Linked DNA regions of Callithrix jacchus. The protein of the gene in region 1 purifies or fractionates together with the protein of each later gene. This does not show direct contact. Links are inferred from orthologs where the notes say so. Each region holds a gene or a part of one and is shown on either strand. Other genes may lie near its edges.

Region 1 (3,352 bases):
ATCTGTGACCAGTCTGGCCAACCTGGTGGAACCCTGCCTTTACTAAAAATACAAAAAATTAGCTGGGCATGGTGGTGTGCCTGTAATCCCAGCTCCTCGGGAGGCTGGGGCAGAAGAATTGCTTGAACTGGGAGGGGTGGAGGTTGCAGGGAGCCAAGATTTTGCCACCGCACTCCAGCCTGGGCGACAGAGCGAGACTCCTTCTCAAAAAAAAAGAGAAGGAACAGGGAAACTTCTGAGACAGGCTGGGGGAGGCATCACGTAGCTGGGATTGCTGCCCCATAAAACAGAATGATATGTGTCACTGCCACCTACCTTCCTCAGTCCTCTCCCTCCCCAGGTTGCTAGCGTCCCCCCTGGGGGATCAAACTGGACTGCTTCCCAGCCTCAGACAAGAGGGCAGTCTGAGTCAGGCAGGAAAGTGGGACAGCTGGGGAGCTGGACCCCACCCTCTGGAAGCCCCGCTGGTACCTGATGGCATATGGCTTGGAGAGGGCAGGTGACCTGGCATGGAGGGCCAGAGGGTAAGTCCTCAAACAAGTGGCAACAGGCCACCAACTTGAAAGGGAAAATTGTGTAGTGATGGGAAATGTGTTCAACAAACCTACTGGGTGACTAATTACAAAGGCTGGGCTGGAGCGTCAGAGGCTGCTTGTTAAACACTTTATTAAGTGGCACTCCGAAAGCTGCCACCTGTGCATTCTGGGAGCTCAGAGGGGACCCATCTGGGGGATGGAACTGTCTTCAGGTAGACTGAGGAAGCAGCCTGGATCTCATTTCCAAACACAGCCTGGAGCTCATAGGTCAGAGGCCTCATGGGAGAAAATCTAAAGGAGGTAGGGTGCAGAAAAGAGTTTCAGGGAATTGGTGGCTATGTGACTTTGAGCAAATCTCACCCCTCTCTGAAACTTAGTGTACCCATCTCTATGGTCCTGTGTATGTCACAGAGACATGGAGGGGATTAAAGTTGATCATGAATATAAAAGTGCTTGAGAAACTGTATAGCCCTACCTATACATGAATTATTCTCCCCTGAACCAAGCGGGGGAAGTTACCTCTCCGGATTAGGAACCCCATCCTCCTGAACCTTTATGAGCTCTATCAAGGCTGAAGCAGCCAGGGGCTAAAGCCATCCTTAGCCCCTGGAAGGGCACTGTGAAAGAGGATCTGATATGAGAAGCCAGGCAGCTTCCTGATGTGGGCAGTCATGTAATGCCAGTCCTGAACAAGAGGGGGCAGCGTGGAGCCCAGAAAGGCACCTGTGCAGGTGGGGCCAACGCCCAGATTTCTCCTGCTGACTGTCCTGATGACTCACTCCCACATCCCAACCCTTTTACCTTTCATGCAGAGCCGGAAAGGGTGTGGGGAGGAGAGGAGAGGGAGGCAGGTCTTGGGCCCTGGTCCTGCCCCCTGCTCCTCCCCACCCTTCTCAGGGCCTGGCCACCCAGCCAAAAGGCAGGCCGAAAGCAGGAGAGGCACAGAGTCCGGGATTGGTCCCAGGCAGCAGTTACCCGCCGCCCTCCTGTCTGTTCCCAGAGCCATGGAGAGAGCCAGTCTGATCCAGAAGGCCAAGCTGGCAGAGCAGGCCGAACGCTATGAGGACATGGCAGCCTTCATGAAGGGCGCCGTGGAGAAGGGCGAGGAGCTCTCCTGCGAAGAGCGAAACCTGCTCTCTGTGGCCTACAAGAACGTGGTGGGTGGCCAGAGGGCTGCCTGGAGGGTCCTGTCCAGCATTGAGCAGAAAAGCAATGAGGAGGGCTCGGAGGAGAAGGGCCCCGAGGTGCATGAGTACCGAGAGAAGGTGGAGACTGAGCTCCGGGGCGTGTGCGACACTGTGCTGGGCCTGCTGGACAGACACCTCATCCAGGAGTCTGGGGACGCCGAGAGCCGGGTCTTCTACCTGAAGATGAAGGGCGACTACTACCGCTACCTGGCTGAGGTGGCCACCGGTGACGACAAGAAGCGCATCATTGACTCGGCCCGGTCAGCCTACCAGGAGGCCATGGACATCAGCAAGAAGGAGATGCCGCCCACCAACCCCATCCGCCTGGGCCTGGCCCTGAACTTTTCCGTCTTCCACTACGAGATCGCCAACAGCCCCGAGGAGGCCATCTCGCTGGCCAAGACCACCTTCGACGAGGCCATGGCTGATCTGCACACCCTCAGCGAGGACTCCTACAAAGACAGCACCCTCATCATGCAGCTGCTGCGAGACAACCTGACCCTGTGGACGGCTGACAACGCCGGGGAAGAGGGGGGCGAGGCGCCCCAGGAGCCCCAGAGCTGAGTGTTGCCCGCCACCAGCCGGCCCTGCCCTGCCCCCTCCAGTACCCCACCCTGCCAAGAGGACTAGTATGGGGTGAGAGGCCCCACCCTTCTCCCCCAGGCGCTGTTCTTGCTCCAAAAGGTTCCATGGAAAGGGACTGGCAGAGCCGAGGCCACCTGGGGCTGGGGATCCCACTCTTCTCGCAGCTGTTGAGCACACCTAATCACTGGTCATGCCCCACCCCTGCTCTCTGCACCCGCTTCCTGCCGACCCCACGACCAGGCTACTTCTCCCCGATCTTGCCTCCCTCCTGCCCCTGCTGCCTGATGTTAGGAATTGAGGAGTAAGTGTCCCGCCTTGTGCCTGAGAACTGCACAGTGGTAGGGGCTAGAGATTGTGTGTGTGTGTGTGTGTGTGTGTGTGTGTGTGTGCGTGCGCTTGCCAGTGCAAGATCGAGATTGAGGGAAAGCATGTCGGCTGGGTGTGATCATGTTTCCTCTCAATAAAGTTCCCCTGTAACACTCCTCCTGTCTCTTCCAGTTCTTGGCGATGGGCTGGGAGTGGGACTGGAATCTGATTTAGAGACCCTGAACTTGGACCTGAGTTAGGACCCTGACCTCCCTGGGTGCTCAGTGACCCGCACGCAAGACTTTGAGTCCAGGTGAGGCCGGGGTCCAGCTCTGTCCTTCAGGGAGGCCCCACACTGGACGGGCCCGGAAGGGGCCGGTGAACCCACAGGAGGCGCCAAGGCTCCTCTGCCGGGCTGAGGGGAGGTGAGTGGGAGCCGCGAGGTTGACGAGCTCAGGTGGGGCGGGGCAGGAAACAGTGAAGTCTCCGGCGTGAGATCTAAGGACAGCGCCGCAGTAGCGAGCGGCACTGAGCACCCGATTTGCAAGCAGGTCACAGTCTCATCACGGGCTCCGATCTCAGCGGAGGGGAATACCATCTGAGTGAGGCAGAGGTATAGCGCAACCCTAAAACCCCAGATCTCAGGAGAGAGTCGTGTCCCACAGAGTTCGGAGATGCAGACAAAAGGAAACCGACTGGCGGGGAGGAAGGACAACCTGGGTGAGAAGGGCTGCGGGG
Region 2 (3,653 bases), on another chromosome or scaffold:
CTGGTAATGGCACCCTACGTGTGTTCTTCCATGGCTCTGCTCCTAAAAGAGAAGCAGATAAAGTAAGGTCTTACATGCAAATCCCAGTTTATTGTTACCATTCTGAGCTCCACCTTCTCGTATGAGATACTAAAGAACATGGGACGCTGCCCTGACTGCTGTCTTTTTGGATTTTGCTTTGGAATCCCGATCCAGTCTTGCTTTGTAACCGCACAAGTGGGGATACAAAACTTGTTTTTTTCTCCATAGCATGCAAATAGGAAATGCTGGGGGGCATTGTGGATTGTTTGGTCGAAATAGAGAGTTCCTTGTAGATCATTGCCAGAGAAAGAGGAGTGACACAAATGACAAGCACCTTATTCACGATGCCCTGGTCCTGTTGCCTCAGTACCCATGTCCCTGCCCTACCCCACCCCCACTCTCTCTTTCTGATATCCCTTTCCTCTCCACATCCACTTGAACTTCTAGAGACTTTGTGATATCCAGGGAGGAAAATGATAAGTGATTAGACTTCTTTCCCTCTGCCCTCCTCCGACACCCCATTCCCCATGATGTGATTTCAAGCATAGCAAGAGGACTCAAGAAAAATCTTCCATATGAATCAGGACTAGCTTTTTTTAAACAGAAGGAAGAGGTCAGTGCATCTTACCTTTGGCTGTGTGAGAATGCATTTCATCTTTATTCTTTCTGAGATCTTGGTCCCTACTCTGTCCTTTATTCCTTCTTCATCCCTCTTGTTTTCCCTTTCCTTTCTGTAGGGGCGGTTTCTTCTACATATTTGCTGAGTGTTCTGAATGTATTGCTTTCTTGGTCTAAATATATTCATTTTGTCTAGAGTTAACTCAGTGATTCTCATCCTTTTTGAAGTTTTTGGTTTGATTTCATGCTTTCTATCTGATCTCAACACTAGGGGGTGGGTGTGTACATGTAAGATTCTTAAAAATAAATGAATTTAAATTAATCTGGGGACAGACTTAAAATACTGGAGATACTTCATAGCATCACAAAACCAGACATAAGACGAATCTCTGATCTAACTTATAAGGTCAATCCAGCAGCAGTTATTAGTATAACAAATGATAAGCCAGAAAGAGCCTATTCGTGTTCAGGCTTGGATTTGAAACTTGAAATCTTATTTACAGATTGACTTCTGTGATTTGTTCCCAATTTAAATTTGCAACGATAGTTGCAGCGTAAGTTATAACAAACTCCTGAATTGGCAGTTTTGTTTTATTGAAATGCGATTGAGTGTTTTTTCACGTGCCTGTATTTGAAGAGTCTACAGCTGCCTGCTGTCTTGTGGCTAAATGTAATGTCATATAAATGGAACATTTTCCCCTCCTGTAGCTCACTCAACATACTACTTTCCACATTTTTGTTGCTCAGTTTCTAGGATGATTGGCAATTACACTTTTTTTAAAAATCTGGTACAAAAAATGTAAACTGTAAAAATGTTTCTTGCTGTACTCTTCATGAAGTCTCCCTTGCATTTGCTAATGTGGGTGAAGTACCCATGCTTTAGGGGAGTCCACTTGGGATTGTGGCAGAATTAGAGAGACCGGTTTCTTTCCTGATGCTTGGGAAAACTGTGAAGTGGGTGGCGAAAGAAGCATTAGTCAGAAAATTGAAGAAAATTAAGGAAAAGTAGATGTTCATAATGAGGAAAAAAACCCTTGTAGTAGGTATTTATTCTAAACGTAGTTTTGAGAACTAAATGTATTTATCTGTGAACCAAACTGCACTGTGTACGGTTGGGGTGCAGAATGAGTCTTTTGAATCACTGTAAACCCCTGTCCTTCAAGGGGTTGGCATTCAGGTTGGCATTTCAGTTAGCAGAAGGGTTTTCTTCATAGATTGGGAGGCGAGATTTTCATCAGTTCTGATGTTGGTACTTAATCACCTTGATTATACAAAAGCAGGCAGAGCTTTCCATTTCCCAGGCATTTCAGTCATTAAGGTTCTTCTCTGAGTTACAGAAGTGAGCAACGTGGACAGGTCACCCTAGAAGGGTTAGTGGTGGTTGACATTGGTACAGCAAGGGCAGAGCTGGGAAAAGTTAACTAAGCACACATTGGCTTAGGTTGATGCCCTTCAACTCTTGGGGGAGAAAAAAATGCTGGGTTAAACCATATGAAATTGCCAATATTCTATCATCTTTGATCTAAAATACATGGACATTTCATGTGGCCCAAACTCAAAAATAAGATTAGTGGTTTGGGTTTTAAATGTACACATTCAAATATAAAATAATTATGCTACTTTTTTTAGATCAGGCTAAATGAAGAAACAATCCAAGATGTTGTTCAGGCAGCAGACCTGCTACTCCTGACAGACCTTAAAACCCTGTGCTGTGAGTTTTTGGAAGGTTGCATTGCCGCTGAGAACTGCATCGGTATCCGTGACTTTGCACTACATTACTGTCTGCATCACGTTCATTACCTTGCCACAGAATACCTGGAGACTCATTTCCGAGACGTCAGCAGCACAGAAGAATTCTTAGAACTGAGTCCTCAAAAGCTTAAAGAAGTGATTTCTCTTGAGAAGTTAAACGTTGGCAATGAAAGATATGTCTTTGAAGCAGTAATTCGATGGATAGCACATGATACAGAAATAAGAAAGGTACCTGTCATTTATAACACGGTCCGGTTTGCCTTTTTCTTTCTTTTTAATTCAAATTATAATTGTTTTATTTTTCCTTTTCAACACGAAAGACTTATGGAACAGTGATCTGAAAGATACTTGTAAATGATGTTCCTGTATATCATGAAAGCAGTTGGCTTTTCAGACCAGTCTGCAAAACCCCATGCCACACAATATATCAGTGAAAACACTGACCCTTGGAAGGAGCAGAATGTCCTTTGTATGTTGTTTTTAACGGGAAAATGCATTTCAAGCTTAAGCTGGAGATTATAGAACCGCATCATCCCCACCCTTGCTGGCAGCATCCTGACCGACTGCATCACTAGGCTAGCCCCTGCCAGGCCTCAGGTGCCTGCAGCAGGCGAGGGGTGGCACGTGGAACTCTGGCAGAGAGGTGAGGGCCATGGGCCTGAGGAGCTTCGGATGTCATTGACACCTCTTGGGAGAAAGCAGGCAAGCTCTGGAGTTTGTGTGGCAGTGCAGTTTCAAGAGGGAAGGTTCTGGGAGTGACAGCCTGGGAAGAGGGCCTTAGAGAATATCAGCGTCTCAATACAAATTGTGAATACCTTGGAGAAGGGAGCAAAATCACAGACTCCAGGGTTTTGGTGGGTAGAGGGTCTCAATCTGTCTCTCAGTGGCCAAAGTGACACGATTATAGCTCACTGCAGCTCCAACCTTCCTGGCTCAAGTGATCTTCCCACCTCAGCCTCCCGAGTAGCTAGGACCACAGGTGTGTGCCACCATACCTAGCTAATCATTTGATTTTTGTCGAGACAGAGTCTTGCTGTGTTGTCCAGGCTGGTCTCAAACTCCTGGGCTCAAGCAGTCCCCCACTCCAGATTTCCAAAGTGCTGGGATTACAAGCGTGAGCCACTGTGCCCAGCCAGGACTTTATTTTTAAGTCTGATTAATATAAATAAGACACTAGCTTCAATTACTGTTTTCAAAATGAGAAATATATTAGGGTTAGAGAGTGGCTCTCAAAATGTATAGTTGTATTGTTGTTTTCATAA

The links. The genes of interacting proteins can lie anywhere in the genome.
Region 2: the proteins of SFN (region 1) and GAN purify together in Homo sapiens (affinity purification with mass spectrometry; 3 studies listed by BioGRID and IntAct, with this or other methods). This does not show direct contact. The link is inferred for Callithrix jacchus from reciprocal best matches to the Homo sapiens genes SFN and GAN.

What each region holds. Positions count from the first base shown.
Region 1 is NC_133508.1:63,511,661-63,515,012, forward strand, and holds SFN (14-3-3 protein sigma), read left to right. Parts: upstream 1-1,477; 5' UTR 1,478-1,540; coding exon 1,541-2,287; 3' UTR 2,288-2,790; downstream 2,791-3,352. UniProt on the Homo sapiens protein: Adapter protein implicated in the regulation of a large spectrum of both general and specialized signaling pathways. Binds to a large number of partners, usually by recognition of a phosphoserine or phosphothreonine motif.
Region 2 is NC_133521.1:38,906,687-38,910,339, forward strand, and holds part of GAN (gigaxonin), read left to right. Parts: intron 1-2,268; coding exon 2,269-2,619; intron 2,620-3,653. UniProt on the Homo sapiens protein: Probable cytoskeletal component that directly or indirectly plays an important role in neurofilament architecture.